2 linked regions of the Rhinolophus ferrumequinum genome follow. The protein of the gene in region 1 binds, or shares a complex with, the protein of each later gene. Links are inferred from orthologs where the notes say so. Each region holds a gene or a part of one and is shown on either strand. Other genes may lie near its edges. The genes, in order: PSME4 and PSMB9.

Region 1 (8,314 bases):
TTGGAGCCCTGAGCAGGCTTCAGGAGGTTCTATTATCAATGAAGTGTTACAAAGAAAAAATAATCAGTGCAGTTTTAGTCTACTTAAGGAATCCAATTTTGTGTTTAAGATTTTGCTTTCATGAAACGGTCCACTGCTAAGTTTTGAGTTTGAAAAAACACTAATAATTTACACTCCCATTTTCCTAAAGCTAAGAGAGTTTAAGGAAAACCAAGACAATAATGTTGGTGGCAAAGCCAGGTACAGATAAACTAAGGTCTTAGGACTAGACCTCACTGCCTTCATGAAAGGTACAGAAGAAAGGCAAGGCAGAAAAAGCAATTTTTCAAGACTACCTTTCTTCAACTCCCTTTATTCTCTACCTGGGCCATTCCAGTTGCCAATACCTTTCACTTACTGTCTACCAGCTATCTTTACTGCTGTTTTCCAAAGACCACTAGTAGTTTGTGTCTATCTTCTCTAATTTGTTTCCTTGCTTCTTAGAAAATGGCCCTGTGGATGAGTTATGTTACACAATCTCTTTTGAAGAGGAAGTGCTAATACTTTAAACTGTCTGTACAAGAGAATTTGTGTTATTTCACAGGACCAATTTTTAAAACACCCAGAAATAACCTTTCTTCACAGAGATGCGAAACAGACCCACAAGTCTCAAAGTGGATTGAAACAGAATTATGACATCTACAAAACTGTGGTAAAACGTTAAAAAGAGGGAGGCTGAGTGTCTTCGAAAGAACTCTACCTCCACCCAGATCTGTGACGCTCAGATTAGGGGTGTACACTTCTGGTCGGGGATCCAGTCCCAGCGACTTTGAAGAGCATGTACACTCTGGTCTTCTTTAGGAATGTACTGTGTACTTTACAAACTGCTCACAGTCCTCGGAGAAAAATACACACTGGTTTATTTGAGGCTCTACAGGATAAAAAATAAAATCATAAAATACCACCGCAGGACTGTTTCTCAGGAATTATTCAGTCCAACCTCCTCATTTCTCTCCCAAGAATATTGAAAAACATGATTAAAGTAACTTTCCACAGTCACAGAACTAGTGGGAGAAATTAGATTTTATTTTCATTACTACTTTCCATTCTTCTACAAAGTACTAAAATATAATCACTACTCAAGTAATTCACAGCTATCATCACATGTTCTGGCATCATTTAGATGTACACTTGTGCAATGCACACAAGACTTAATAAACAAGCACAACTATAAACAGGTCACCTTAACATGACTTAGGAGGAAAAATAACACCCAAGATCACAACATGTCCCACCGGGTTCAAATTGTCTCATAGGGCAATCCCAAAAATCAGTTTGAAGCACTTAACCACTGTTCCAAAATAAAATTCTATCTGACAGCATTTCTTGCTGGTTATTTAGAAATAAAATGGCTTTAAGTTCACAATATTAAGCCACAAAACTGCAATCTTGCCCTAAACACCAAGGGTTGTCTCTATTGTATTTTTTGCCCTATCTAGGTTTTCACTTAATAAGCCAAAAATAATAAAACCCTAAGTGATAATTTGCCAAGCTTAGTAATAATGTCAGAAAACAATACTTAACTATGCCTGTGTAGATTCTAGATTCATTAATCCAAATCAGACATGCATTCACAATTGGTATATTTATATATTACACATCTAAAAGGAGCTGTTTGTGTCCCCCTAAATGGTTATTCTCTGGCAAATCCAATACAAGTGATTAAAATGGGGAATTGCTGGAACTGGCAAAGTAACTTTATTTTTACTATGCCTGAGTAATCGAAACACCCAGGAAGGTGCACTTGAAAAATCATGTGAATTTTAATTATTTATAAAACATTCTCTGTTTTGACTAATAGTGGTTCTTCTCCCTGTTGCATTTCTTTTTTCCCATGTCTCCTGCGGATCTGAACACCACAAACTTCACTCTCCAACCAAGAGGAGAGATGTTAACCTTGACATTTTATGGTCACTCTTTGAAAAGGGTAAATAAACTGTTTTAGTTTTGCTTTTTAATTAAAGGGATAATTGTTCCCACCACCACCGCCAAGTGAAGATGAGAAATTAATCAGAGGCTCCCTAATAATAGACATATAAGAATCATCCTGTGAGGAAATGTAGAGAAGACTATTGCATTACAAAACCCTGAGTCATCACCCAGTTCACTCAGCAGATTTGGGTAAACACTGGATAGGTGACATGTCTTAAGTATTCATCCATCCATACCCCTATGCATGAACATACAATGTTAACATTTTATGTAATGAGCCAAACAAGACAAGCAAAATTTTTTTAAAAAAGTTTTTCTGACACAGGGAAGATGTCCATCTAGCAAATAAAATCTCTAACCTTCCCCCCACAACTGTATTTTACTCATTTCTCCAATTATAGTTCGCAGCTAAAAAAATAAAAGAACAGAACTCCTGAAACTGATTTAGGTAATCGACAGTTATATCTCAGCAACTCAAAAAAGTAACAAACCCAATACTAATAACTAATAACGCCCAGGACAACCTGACAGTTCTCCTCTCCTTTCCGTAGTATTGTACATTTCCAAACAGAAGTAATATACACTTTCCCCGTTCTAAGACTCAACCTTCTCAACATTACTGTCTAGTATGCAGCCTAAGTGTGCGCTGAGGGCTGATTTTAAAGCAATCTTTTCAATCAAATCCACAAAGACCGAGCAGGCCCAAAAATGTAGAACCTGCAAGCTCCCTACGGCCTCCTTCCCATTCAGAAAAAGTTACTAGACGCGAATTGAGGGCTATTTAGAGTCGGGGATCGTATGGGGAAGAAAGAACTGGAGGAACTAGGAGAAATCAAGAGTTGCTCCGCCGAAATCGAATCCTTTCTGCTCCCCTTCCTGCAGGGGCAAAGATCCAAGAAGGACCCTTGGGGGACTGCACATGTCTCTCCCTCGGGGCCCCGCAGGTCGGAAGACAACAACCCAAACCCCTGGGGAAAAGCACCAACGGCGGACGTAGAGGACTAGAAGGACCGAGGAGGTCCCGTAGGAAAGAGGCTGGGAGGAGGCTTGAGTGCTTCCGAAGCTTCTGTTGCGACCCTGGGACTACTGCACCGGCTCGATACGGTCAGAGTTGAGGGTCCAGCCATCAGGGGCGGACAAAGAGCCGCCCCCGCCCCCGAACGCCGTTCCTTTGAGCCTTTGCCCCAGACCCATCCTGCAGGCCCGGTCACACTTACGTGGAGAGTTTCCTGGTCCAGAAGAGGCCCCCGGGCCACAGCTCCTGGAGCTGCACGGCCCGGCCCAGGTTGCGTTTGATCTGGGCCAGCTGCAGGTCGGACTCGGCGTCCAGCCGCTCGGCGTAGGGCAGCAGCTTGTTGTAGACAATCTCCTTCTGCGGGACGAAGGCCCGCGGGCCCGGCCCGGGACACCCGCCTGGCTCCGGGGGATCCCCGCCACCCGCCCGCTCGGCCGGCTCCATGAGCCCAGGGACACCCCTCCACCCCCTCCCACCCTAACCCTCCCCGGCCCCCACCCCTCTCCGGGCTCCGCCTCCTCTGCGTCGTCGTCGCCCTGAGGCCGCCGGCGGCCCGTCGCCCTCGGCCCGACAGCTGGGCCCCCTCCCCTGGCCGGCTCGCTCTTAGTCCCGCGCGATCCCCAATTCGTTAGCGGCGGCAGCGGCCGCTCCGCCTGCCCCGCACCGGCTCGCCTGATGACGCTGCAGCCGCCGGGCCCGGAGGTTCCGGACGGGCCTCAAGTCACTTCCGGGGCGGGGCGGGGCGGGGCGCGGCGACGGCGTCGGAGGAGGTGGTGGCGGCGGGGGCGGGAGCCCCGGGGGCCGCGCCTTCGTCGCCGTGGGCCGGGCTCGGAGCCCCCACCCTCGGGCCTGAGCGGCCGAACGCGAGGCTGCCCCGCCGGAAACACGAGGCCGAATTCCAAGCTATTGTCCTTCCTGGGCCGGTGTTGGGCGCTCCTGGCGAATGCCTCTCGAGAGCCCTTAGTCGCCGTTGCCTCCGGCACGGCAGTTGGCCTAGTTCCCCACACCGCGTGTATGGAAAAACCTAGGGACCCGGTATCCATCCCTCTTGTTATAGATTTTTTTTTTTTTTCACTACTCTGTCCCTTTTAAGCCCTCATCTTTCTGGTATTCTCCTGGCTGCCCTCATTCCAAAGAAGGAAATAGTTATTCTTTCAACAAATATTAATTGTACCACTATTTTGTGTGTCAGACTCCTTCTTTGCACTTGAGATGGAAAGTTAAAGAGCACCAAGTTTCTGCCCTCCGGGCATTTACAGTCAGAGCTGTAGACTAGGGAATAGGCAATTACAAAACAACACTCTTTAATTGCTAGATAAGTACAGGACGCCTTGGGAATAGCTAAAGAGTTCAAACTGGAGGGGTGTCAAGTGGTTTCCTAGAAGTGATACGTAAATTGAGTTTAAAGGCTTAAGTGCTGAATTGATTAGAAAAAGAAGAGAAGAGAAAGTACATTTCACCTGAGGGAACAGCACAGAGACTGCAAGCATGCACCCTAGAAGTTCAAAAAGTTAAGGATGGCTGAAGATGGTTTGCAAGAGAGGGGAGTGGAGAATTGAGACAGAAGGAAGTGTTAGGATGTTTTCAGAGTTTTATCTTAAAAGCAACAAGAAACTCCGAAAGATTTTAAGCGTAAGAGTGGCATGATATAATTTACATTTTTGAAGAACCACTCTGGCTTTGTGGTTCTAATCCATTTCTAAAAATGGATTGGAACAGACAATACTGGACAATACAGGACCCCTTAAGGAAATGTGACATAACAATGGTCTAGATGTCAGTTGAAATGATTGAGAGCTATTTAAGCAAGAAGAATGGCCTGAGCTTAATACTAAAAGTGAAAGAGAGGGAAGAGACAGGATGATGTCAGATTTCTGGTTTGGGAAGCTGGGTAAATAGTGGAAACTTTTCTGACTTGAGAACATAGCAGAAACAGCTTTAAAGGCAGAATGCCTAAGGGGTAGGTAAGTATTACTATTTTGATGTATGGATGAGGAAGGATGATCTCAATGGGGATATGGATTAACCTATATGTGGATCGGAGGGAATGAGATGCAGAGTATTGTTAACAAATAAACTAAGGCATATTAAAATTTTGAAGAGTTTATTGGAGCAAAAATCTGTTCCAATTGGGCAGCACCAAACCTGGAATGGTTAAGAGTGTTCCACTGACTGGAGCCAGAAGAAAGACTTTTACTATAGAGAAGGTGTGAAAGCAAAGAAAGAAACTGTTTGATTGGCTGTAGCTTCAAGCCTAGTTGACTACTTGTGATTGCTTGTCCTTAGCGGTTAGATTTCATAACCTTGAGGTATTTACACTTAAATTTTGATTTGCTGAAGTAGGCTGCCAAGGCATTAGCTACCACCTCAGACTAAGGGTCTCCTGTTTAATTAATTTAACGATATGAAAAAAATAGGGCCCTTGACCAAACTCTGAGGAACCCCATATTTGAAGCTGGACAGAGAAAGAGGAGAGAGACCAAAGAACACTCACAAGAAGCAGTCAGAGAGGTCGGAGGCATTCTAGGAAAGTGGGCATTCCTAAAAACTGTTTCAGGTGGAGGACGTGATCAACTACACAGAAGGTGGCTGACAGGTCAACTGAGACCTGAGAAGGGATCCTTGCAGTGACTGATAAAGCAGATAAGAACAGTTTCAGTGGAATGTGGGAGTGGAAACCAGATTACAGTGACAGAGGACAAACAGGAAATAGAGGCAGCAAATGTGAACTACCTTTTCATAAAATTTTGTGTGGGAAGAACAGGAGAGAGAAGGAGGTAGCTGGAATAAAAAGGAATTTTTGAGCAAGGGATATATTTAAATTTGTTTAAATATTGATGAGAAGGAGCCAATGGAGAGAGAGTTTGAAGATATGAGTGTGTGGGTGAGGATGACAGAGAGTGGAAGAGAAGGCGGAGTCATTGGTCCTTAGAAGTAAACAAGGTTGCTCCCATTGTCAGAGGGAAAAAGTAGGGGGATAGATGCAAATGTAGAAAGGTTTTGTAGATTTGTTGGCCAGAAGTTGGAGAAGTTCTTTTTGATGATTACTGTTTTTGTTTTTCTCTGAATGAAGAGAATGAGAATGATGGGAGGAAGGGATGGGTAGAAGATTTGAGGAGATTGGAAAAGGTTTAGAGTGGTCTCAAAATTCAGAAAACTGATTAGAGAAATAGTAGAATTGCTTGACAGTGCTGGAAGCATGAATTCACTATCGTCTCTCTGCACAATTGAGTGATTTTTTTCCTCCAATAATGTTTAGCAGCCCAGGAATGTATACATACAAGCTGGTATGATAGAATGACAAAGGAGCAAGGGAAGGGTCTGTATGATGGCAGTGGTGATGGTAGTGGTGTTAGCTACCATTTGCTGAGCACTTCTCTCAGCCGGTGCTTTACCTACATTACCTCATTGAATTTTCTTCTCTAAATATCGATCATTGAGTTGAGAATGTTTGAAAGAGTGCCTAAGTTGGTTGAAATTGTAGGGGAAGAAAATAAGTTTCTTCCTACTCTTCTAAGTTCTTCTGGCTGGTCTAATAATCAAGTTGAAGAGACAGATTAACAGGAGAAAATAACTAAATCTATTAAGTATGTACATACAGAGTTCCATAAGAACATGAGACCCAAGGACAAATCTGACAGTTGAGGTTTATATGCCATTTTGGACTAAGGTGAAGGGGTACGGTTGTGGGGGGGGCGTGGCTTGTGGGAGGGGGGAGTTGTAGTTCGGGGCTTCAAAGGCAAAAAAGGCAACTCACATGGAGATGGGAAAGCAAATGTTTGGTAAACAGATGTTTGTTGGCCCATTTTAACGATAAACCACAAAGAAGACTTTGATCAAAGGCTTTGGTAGTTTTTTTCCTGTTTATCACAGTTAATTCATATTAAACTGTAGTTATCTGTAATAATAGCTCCCTTACTGGAGCAGGTTCTCCCTCTATCTAAAATTTTTTAGGCAGTTAGGGGGAAGGTCAAAGGTTCTCCTGGAGTCTTTTGTTTCTTAAACGATAACCAGCTTAAAATAATCAACATCCCAACAAGGCATATTTTGGTGTGGCAAACTCTGCTCCCCTTAAAGTCAAAGTGAAGACAGAAGAGGACCTACAAGCAGAGAACAGAGAGATCAAGGGACTCCGATCCTGAAGTGGCGCAGCACGATATGACTGGATTAGCCTGGGCAAGGGGTCTGGAAGAACTGAAATGTTGGATTTACAGCTTCAAAGAAGCAGTTCCAGGTGATGTCAAGTTTCCTGGGAGTGGATTTCTGAACTGGAAAAGTCAAAAGAATTGTTGGAGCAAAAGAGATAAAGTCTTTCTGTTATTTTATGTGAAGTTTAGTAGAAAACACTATTAAAACCCCGTTAGGTGAGAAAGTTGGTAGACTTTAAGTTGTTCAGGGATACGCAGGCTACTCATCCCTGAAGACAGTTAACCCAAAGTCTGGGTCAGTTTTCTCCTCACAACAACTCCCAAGCATTTTTTTTTTTTTTAAATCTCTTAGAACTCAGGATACTCTGCCAAAGGATATTAACGCACATTATCCTTTTAGTCAGACCCCGAGGGAGACATTGGCTTCTTATTAGGCTCTTGGAGGAAGCGAACTGTAATCATCCTTTTTGGAAGACCCTGAAAGTACAATAGCCCTTCATGGAAAATATTCTAAAGAGAGAGATTTCTTCTCAAGCTGGAAGAATTGGCAGGGATAATTATCAATCAAATATTTATGTCTTTGATATACTTATTGGCCCACTACTTGGTAATCCACTTATTAGCAGTGAACAAAAGTGACAGTTTCCTGCCTTCTCCTGCCTTAGTTTTTCTATATGTGATGCATTTGGGACTGGGGCTGTTTTGACAAGTGTATGAATCTCTGTTGCCAGAGCATAATCTTTAAAAATATTTAAAAGCATAATCTTTAAAAATTAGTCATCTAATGTAATCAAGTATCCAGACTCTTGCTGTTACAGTTATTAAGGACACCAGAATATTGGATCTGAAAAATGACTGTTTTTCTAGTTCCTATATGATTTTTAAGTTTTTAATATTTCATCCAAAAATCCTTTTTATCTATTTATAGTATCCACTTCATTTGAACTAAAGTATATGTTCAATTTTTAACAAGCAGGAAATCACAGCTAAAGGAATGAATTTTTTATTATTTTACTGGTTTTTTTCTCTGTTAGGCATTTTTGCTATTTTACTGCAGTGTAACTAGATGTGTGCTTCTTTGTATTAATCTTGCAGGGAAGATGTATTTCTCAAATCAAAAGATTCGTATCATTCATCAGTTATGCAAAATTTTCATCTATTATCTTTTCATGACTTTTTT
Region 2 (8,795 bases), on another chromosome or scaffold:
TCATACCTCCATTGGTGGAGACTGTACTATGCCTAGAGAGGCAGTGTCTTTGGAACTCACTGCTAGAAGGACATGAGACCTTCACTTCCTCTCGAGGGGCGTGGGGAACCCCCAGGGAGGGAGTGCCTTGGGAGAGACTCACTTGGCCCCCTTCACGGTGGTCCCAGCCAGCTACCATGAGATGTGCAGACAGGTCCTCCCGATATTTATAGGTAATATTCCTCACCACATTTGCAGCAGCCAAAACAAGCGGAGGTTCATCCAGTTCCATCCTGAAGGAAATGTTAGGAATAGGGGTCAATGTAACTTCCTGAAGTTTCACCGTCCTGTGCCATTCCCGTCATCCCTGCCAAGTGACACCTGAAACCTATAGCTACAATAGGTCAAACTCCAGCTCCCCTCCCACGTGTGCAGGGGAACCTGAGTCTCACACTGCCAATTGATAAGAAGATCTCAATTTTCCCCTCCTTTACTCTGTCCAGCCCGCCACCCCCCAATCACATAACTCTCTTGGCTCCAAGGACCCTGCGCTTGTGGGTAAAAGCAGATAAACATTACTTCTCATACGGTAACCTGATATGTGGGCCACATTATCATTTCTTCCTCATTATTCATGTCAGGATAGTGATTTACAGTTTTCAAACTGCCTTCACCTATATCACTTGGTTCTTAAAATAACCATCTGGTGAGGGAGTATTATCCCCACTTTACAGATGTAGAAACCAGCTTGAGAGACTCAAGTGCCAGTTAAAAGCTAATAAAAGCAGGAGCCAAAACAAGAATTTTTCATTTTCCACTGCAGTGCTCCTGGAACAGGACACTATGGGGCTCCCTGGTTGGGGGAGCGCTAGCAGGTGTAGTGTGAGGACCCCAAAGCTTCATACCCATGGAGCTCCAGCTGGTAGGCAGCCATGTCGGCCACAGCCTGGGCGTCAGCAGCCGAACCGGAGAGAGCACAGTAGATGCGATGGTGTAGTGGGGACAGCTTGTCAAACACTCGGTTCACCACCGCCTCTCTGTCAGGGAGGGGTCGACAATCATCGGCGTTAGAATTGCAGGAAGATTGAGGTTAATTGTCTAATGTTCCTCATATTTATTTGACAAGAGAACGACCACGGAGTGCACGAAATGTAATGCTTGGATCAAAGCAGGGAGCAAAAAAATCATCTGAAGTAAATGAAACACTGCAAGTAATCAAAATTAGACTTATTTTTAGGCTCAGATTTTATAACAAAATAAAAAATATTAAGTTACGACTAATGTTCCTCATCAATTTTTCTTTGCTAGTAACCATCTTGAGGAAGTTATGTGTTCTAAACATAAAGTAAGTAATATTGATCTAATCCCATATAGTCATTTTACATGTTAGGAAACTGACCAGGAGGAAGACAAAATTAGTTCAATAGGTGATAGATGAGAAACCAGAATTTCATCTTGTCAGAACCATCTTTTCTGCCTCTAACTATAGAAGGAACGAGGGCCCCTCAAATCTCTCTCACTATCCCCTTCTCAGACCTTATTCCTTCCAGGGACAGGCCACGTAGCATTCAGGCCCTGTATGATCCTCCTTGAATTCAGAGACACAAGCACCCACTTAATAGCTTATTAGTAATCTTTCTGAAAGGTTAATTCCATTTCTCCAAAGCTCCAGTTCACCAGACTCTTAATGAATGGGTAAGGAAAAGGCATATTTGGGGCCCGTAGATTTCTTCCAAAGCTGGTACTTACCCTGCAGATACTCGGGAGTCAGAACCCACCACAACGCCCCCATCAAACTGTACTGCCATGATGGTTGTCTGCAGAGACACAGAGGATAGAATGTCGGAGCAAGAAAAGCCTTGATCCCTTCCTGTCACATTCCCAGAGGAAACCTTCCCAGAGAGGGGAGGGGACTGGCTCAAGGTCACACAGTAACTCAGGCCAGAGCTAACTCCAGTACAGGATTTTTTTCTCCATCTTCCCATTTTCTCTATTGTCTCTCCCGGCTCAAGGGAATGGCAGCCTGGCCATGGTACAACACAGGAAGAACTGCATCCCTAAGCCCCAAACTTCCAAAGTGGAATCTTTTCCTTTGTAAAGAGAGAGGTGGGGAGGAGGCTACTAGAGGCAGAAATTTGGCTTAGTGGGCTCTTCCAAGCTCCGGTGAGCCAGCCTCACAAGTAAATTATCTCCACCTCATGTGCTTGTATGGCAGATGTGGTACAGACTTGGCGAAGCAAGTTACCGTGACCTTGGGAAACAAGCGCAGGTCTTTTTTGGGGTCCAGAATCCTCCATCTACATCCTCCCCATCCCCCCCTTAATCAGAAGTGAGCTCTTTCAGTTTATTGAACCCTGGAAAATGTCGAGGGGGTCCATGGTCAGCAGGGTCACGTCTCAGGAAAGGAAGAAAGCAGCAAGGAGCATATGAGACAGTTTAAAACAAAGGTTTCAAGTAAGGATTTCTGATTAAGAGGCAAATAGATATCTCATTAGTCAGGGGAAGAAATCTGTACTGAGAGAGGATTTGATTTGAGAGTTTCAGCTGACTTTTTCAGGTCAAGAAAAGAAATTAAAGAAGAGTAAAGGAGGATAAAGCTACACTTTATCTAGTCCTGTTGAGTTGGAAAAGGGCATAAAGATCCTTCGTTCAAATGAGGAAACTGAGTCATAGAGAAGGCACGTGACTTATCCAATCACTCAGAATTAATAACAGACTCAGGTCTAAAACCCAGGTCCACTCTGTTTGGCTGCTACTTCCTACTTTCTGCTGCTCATCTGGCAGTGAGGAGAGAGATTTTCTAATTTATAAGTGGGATTATTACTCTCTTTCTCACCACTCCCCAAGTTACTCTGCCCCCCCCCCAGCCCTCCGGGCATATCGCCCGTGAGTCCTCTCTCACATACTGATTTACCATGAATAGAGGGCCAGAGAGCAGGGGCAACTCATCCTCGGGGCTATTCCTCTGTAATAAAGTACCCCCAAGCCAAGAATGGTAGCAATAGTCTGGGAGCAGAAGCCAGCCAGCGGTGGGCTGCCGTCTGCCCCAGGAGCCCAGCCTGGGCAAAGCCCCCCAGCACGTGCGTGGGAGTGGGGAGAGAAGGCACCGGGAAGGGAGCAGGCGGCACCTGGACCAAGCAGGTGCCCTCCTGGGCCAAGCTGGGGAAGGGCACCACGGGCTCCCATGGAAACCTCAGTATCAGTGCTGGGGCTGTAAGTTGCCCAGGTGCCAGTTTATCAAAGTTCTGTGTGATGAGTTGGCTCTTCTCAATCAGTGCCCATACCCCACCCCCCAAATGATGTCCTATTGCATCCAGAGCACCGTTTCCTTATCTCTTTGCTCCTTCTCCAGCCCCCTCCTGATTTAACCAGCCCCTCTCTCTAGTCCAGAGTGAAAGCGAAAGCGCTTTAGAGCAAGCAGCTTCCCCTTGACGCTTCCAGCTAAGAGCCAAAGCACCCCTTTCTCCACCAGCCTCGCGTGCCCAGGCCCTTTGCGGGCCCCAAGATGATCCCCTTCAGAACAGACGCCCTGGATTCACTGCAGGGTGCAAGCACTGGGTGCTACAAGGAACCTCCTCACTCTTAGTCTCCGTATTCACTCCTTGGCGCTTCCAGAATCCCCCTGTCGCCCCACTTCCTCCACCCCTCTGCTGACCCTCACGCCCAGACTCATTACCCCAGTGTGCACTTCTCCGGCCCGGGGTAAGTCCCCGGTTGGCGCTCCGATCCGCAGCATCTCGGCGCCGCGCTCCTCGCCGCCTGCGGCACTGGTTTCGGACTTGGGACAGCCAGCTGCGCGCACGCTACAGTCCCGCCCCCTCTCCTCGCCCGCCAGGGGGCGCCAGCGTCCTCTCCGTGAGGCTTAGCGCCCCGACGCTAACCTGTGTGGGGCAGATCTGCCCGGAGACAGGTGACTAAAGAGCCCCACTCTGAGGCTGGGGTAAAGAAGTCTTGACAAGTGGATCCTACTTGAGGTGGCAAGAAAAGGAGGACGGACGGGTGTGCGTGATGGAGAGGTGGAGCACCAAGGCAGCTCCCCAGAACCTCAGAACTGATTAAACGGCCACTCCCGACAGAGTGGGGCCGGCGCGTCGGCGAGTGGGAGGCTCTGGTTGGTGCCGCGGCGCTTTCGTTTTCCCTTTCCCCTAAACGGCTCGCTTCTAGCCAGCACCGCGGGCTCTGCCGGCTCCCGGGGCTTTCCGAGAGCGCCGCCCGCCCGCCCCCTCGCGCCCTGCCCGGCCGCTGGTCCCCGCGCGCTCGGGACAGACTCCCACAGCACCCAGAGCCTCGGGCCCAGCGGGGACCGCCGAGAGTCCCAGGCCCGGGCGCGACCCCCGCCCGCCCATGGCAAGCTCAGCGCCCCCCGCTCCGTGCGGGTGCCACTGCCTCTCCCGAGCTTTCCTCGCGTGGCTGGGGTCAACGCTGCTGCTTCTCGCCGACTGGGTGCTGCTCCGGCCGGCGCTGCCCGGAATGTCATCCCTGCTGGTGCCCGCCGCGCTGCCGTTGCTCAGGGTCTGGGTAGTAGGCCTGAGCCGCTGGGCAGTGCTGTGGCTGGGGGCCCGTGGGGTCCTCAGGGCAACAGTTGGCACCAAGAGTGAAAGCAAAGAAGTCCAGGGATGGCTGGCTGCTTTGGAGCCACTGGCGGCGGCGCTGGGCTTGGCTCTGCCAGGACTTGCCTTGTTCCGAGAGCTGGGCTCGTGGGGGTTCTCCACGGACAATGACAGCACCAGGCTACTACACTGGGGAAGTCGCCTGGACGCCTTCGTCCTCAGCTACGCAGCGGCACTGCCCGCAGCCGCCCTGTGGCATAAGCTCCGGAGCCTTTGGATGCTGGGAGGTCACAGGGGTTCTGGAGACGCGGTGCGTCGGCTTCTAGGCTGCCTGGGCTCAGAGATACGTCGCCTCCCGTTCATTCTGGTCCTGTTGGTCCTCTCCTGCCTTGGTAAGGGGGTTCAGGGCCAGAGGGATGGACGCTGGGGAACTGGGCAGGAATCAAGAGTAATGATCCGTGAGATAGGTTACCGAGCTCTGGGAAATGTGGGTCAGAGAAAGGGGACTCAGCTCGGGTCTTGAGGAGACCACTCCTGGACGGGGTGGGAAACGGAGACCTGGACTCCAGTGCTGCCCCAGGCGTCACTTCACTAGGCCTCCTGGGGTAGGCAAGTCCTTTCCGCTGAGGCAGTATTTTTCATACAAGGGTATCTTAAGATACTCCATGATCTCTAGGCTTCCTAATTAAACTCCTCAAGGTCTGGTGGGGCCGCAGAGCTTTAAAGTTCCAAGCCGGCCTGCTCAGGTGCTGGGTTGTGTTCTGTGAGGACTTTCTGCCGCTGCCCTCCAGGATACTGGCGGGGGCGGTCTGGTTGGGGCTGGCCTGTTTAGACTTGATATCTGTGACTGACTCATCTCTTCTGTCCCATCGCAGGTGAGATGGCCATTCCCTTCTTCACCGGCCGCCTTACTGACTGGATTCTCCAAGATGAGGCAGCAGCTGCCTTCACCCGAAACATAACTCTCATGTGCATTCTCACCATAGCCAGGTCTGGGGGCTGAAGGTGGAAGGCTGAGAACAGGCGGTGGTGGGGGGTCGGGGGGCTGCAAAAGAGGGAGGTGGAAATGGAGGCTGCCGTCTAAAGTGCAGGGACCTGCTCTGTCCCCTGAGCACACATTGACCCTTGACCCTCTGTCTCTGTCTGTCTCCAGTGCAGTGCTTGAGTTCATGGCTGATGGGATCTATAACTGCACCATGGGCCGCGTGCACAGTCACCTGCAGGGAGAGGTGTTTCGGGCTGTCCTGCGCCAGGAAACAGAGTTTTTCCAACAGAACCAAACAGGTTTCTCATGAAACTCTTCCATTGTACATCCATATGCTATTTATATTCCCTGAGATCCCCTTGTACTTATAACTTTGATATCTCCCTCTTTCTTTCTCTCGCATAGACATTGTCATTTCTTATTTTTGGTATGCCTCAAGAGCAAAATATTGTACTCTTTACCTTCAGAAAAGCCTAGTTTTTCCAGCCAAGGTTTTTTCATAAATTTATCTCTATTTATGTATTTAGATGGAAACTATAACATTGCAAACCTGGACATTTTGATATCAGAGTCCAACTGCCTCATTTTACAGAGAAGGAAACAGGCCTAACCTCTTAAGTGCTGACACTTGCATGGTCACGTATGGATAGAGACGAACTTGAGGACAGAACCCATCTCTTGATTCCCAAAGCTTCCTGGACTGCTTTCTAGCAGCACCCTCCATTTTCCTCCAGCTGTGATATAACCAGCCTAAGCTCTTCCTGCCTATGTGTACAGCGTGGCGTATGCAAGTTCTTTAAGCAACAGAAATATGGGAATTTATATGGGCGTCAATTTCTTTACAATTAAAATGAAGGCTTTTGGCCAGACTTTCCCTGTCTAACATACTCTCCCTGCATTGAGACCCCCAAACTTCCCTGTACCCCGACTTGTTTTTCCCAGCCTCCTTAGAACACCATGTTGACACCCCTCCCCCTGGACCCCGGCTCACTACTGGTCCCTCCCATCACTCTGAGCCTGTCATTCACTCCTCTCTCTTTTCCCCAACCCCTGCCAGGTGCCATCACATCTCGAGTAACAGAGGACACGTCCACCTTGAGTGAGTCTCTGAGTGAGGAGCTGAGCCTATTGCTGTGGTACCTGGTGCGGGGGCTGTGTCTCTTGGGGCTCATGCTCTGGGGGTCACTGTCCCTCACCATGGTCACCCTCATCTCCCTGCCTCTGCTTTTCCTTCTGCCTAAGAAGCTGGGAAAATGGTACCAGGTATGTCCAAGGAGTTGCCTCAACCTACACAGACACTCATCTCCCTCACCTGGAGGACCCAGTTCCTCTTCGCTTTCTTTTCTGCACCCTGGCTGATTCTCCATGTTCCCGGGACTCCCCACTCCTGTAGTCCGTGTTCCCACATTGCTCACTGTTAGTCTTCATGGTCTCTGTGTGTTCTTTTCTAACTTCTGCCCACAGTCTGTCTTTAAGACTACGATCACCAATCTCAAGAATATGATCCCATCACGCTTCTGAGTCATTTTCCTCTCCTCTGGATCTCTTTAGGATCCCAGGGATATAGCCAAGTCCCTTTCTCTTCTCTCCTGTCCCTCTGTCTCTTCTCACCTTTTATCTCCAACCAGGTAACTCAGGTACTAGTGTCCCTTATGGTTTGCCAACCCTGGCTTGGACATGTCTCCACAGGTGCTGGCAGTACAGGTGCGGGAATCTCTGGCAAAGTCCAGCCAGGTGGCCATTGAAGTCCTGTCAGCTATGCCTACAGTCCGGAGCTTTGCCAACGAGGAGGCTGAGGCCCAGAAGTTTAGGCAAAAGCTGCAGGAAATGGAGACACTCAACCAGAAGGAGGCCCTGGCCTATGCAGTCAACCTCTGGACCACTAGTGTGAGAACCTGGAGATGAAGGCCTGCTCCCTTTCCCCCAACATACCTTGACTCCATTCCCTTTCCCGTGACCCGGCTCCACACTCCTCCTCCACTGGGCAATGGGGGTTTCAGTGTTCTCATCCTAGCAACCTGAGGCTCAGTTACCCTACTCAGGCTTCCTGACCCACTCCCTCCTTTTAGGCAAGCACCTAGCAGATGGCTTTCTTTCTCTGTGGCACACAAAATCTGCCCAACCCCCTTTTGAGGAAGATTCCATGCCTTCTAGAGCCTCCTTTGCTTCTCAGAGGGTGCTCAGGGAGCCAGAAATTCCTGCACCTGGGCTAGCTTCATGCTGGGACTGTGTGATGTGCTAGTGAGAGCCACGGGAATAGCAGAAGCCAAAGATGGGGGCACCTGTGGCGTCTTTAGAGGCCTAGACCAGCAAGCAGAAGCTCCTGGCTTGGTGCTGCCATTTACTAGCTCTGTGACCGTGGCCTCGTAACTTACCTTCTCTGAGACTGTTCCCTCATTTTTAACAAGTGGGAGTGATATAACCTGGTTTACAGAGCTCTTGATATGAATATTAGCTTACATTATATTCACGTAAGCCTTCTGTGACGAGCAAGACGCTCCCCAAACAAGCCAATAATGGTGATGATGATGGTGACTCTGTCACGTGTCACTGAGTAAGAGCACGGCATCTCTATGGTTCATTCTCCCTTTCTACTTACGGAGCGTCCTGCTGTTACATGGGGAAAGGGACTTTATATCTCATTAACGCTAAGGATTCTGGTTCTTTGTGCCCCGCTGTTAGATTTCTACCACAACCCCTTTTCTCCGTGATCTCTCCACAGATCTCAGGGATGCTGCTGAAGGTGGGAATCCTATACATTGGTGGGCAGCTGGTGACCAATGGGGCTGTCAGCAGTGGGAACCTTGTCACGTTTGTTCTCTACCAGATCCAGTTCACCACAGCTGTTGAGGTGAGGCCCTCCCAGTTGCACTCCCCAATGGTCTTCCTTGCCCCATCCCTCTGTGTCACCCTCTGTGTCACTCTCCTCCCATTCTTTACCCTTCTCCCATCACATAGCCCTGGCAAACAGATTTGGACCCCACCTCACTATGCATACCTCCCCTCCAGGTACTACTCTCCAGCTATCCCAGGGTGCAGAAGGCTGTGGGCTCCTCAGAGAAAATATTTGAGTATCTGGACCGGATCCCTTGCTGCCCAGCCAGTGGTGTGTTGACTTCTTCAAAGCTGGAGGGCGTCGTTCAGTTCCAAGATGTCTCCTTTGCCTACCCAAACCATCCAGATGTCCTCGTGCTGCAGGTACAACCTCCCAGTGCCTGCACGCCATCAAACACACTCTCAACCCTCCGCTCCTGAAGTTTCCTCCTGTCTCCAGCCTGCTT

The links.
Region 2: PSME4 (region 1) and PSMB9 share a complex: the UniProt entries of both Homo sapiens proteins name them as parts of the spermatoproteasome. The link is inferred for Rhinolophus ferrumequinum from reciprocal best matches to the Homo sapiens genes PSME4 and PSMB9.

The regions. Positions count from the first base shown.
Region 1 is NC_046296.1:33,424,332-33,432,645, reverse strand, and holds the start of PSME4 (proteasome activator complex subunit 4), read right to left. Parts: upstream 3,454-8,314; 5' UTR 3,431-3,453; coding exon 3,189-3,430; intron 1-3,188. UniProt on the Homo sapiens protein: Associated component of the proteasome that specifically recognizes acetylated histones and promotes ATP- and ubiquitin-independent degradation of core histones during spermatogenesis and DNA damage response.
Region 2 is NC_046286.1:3,315,670-3,324,464, reverse strand, and holds the start of PSMB9 (proteasome subunit beta type-9), read right to left. Parts: upstream 3,856-8,795; 5' UTR 3,716-3,855; coding exon 3,656-3,715; intron 1,797-3,655; coding exon 1,729-1,796; intron 1,017-1,728; coding exon 885-1,016; intron 273-884; coding exon 143-272; intron 1-142. Other genes in the region: TAP1 (antigen peptide transporter 1), read left to right, coding at 4,324-4,921, 5,405-5,519, 5,683-5,813, 6,572-6,777, 7,204-7,401, 8,237-8,365, 8,524-8,712. UniProt on the Homo sapiens protein: The proteasome is a multicatalytic proteinase complex which is characterized by its ability to cleave peptides with Arg, Phe, Tyr, Leu, and Glu adjacent to the leaving group at neutral or slightly basic pH.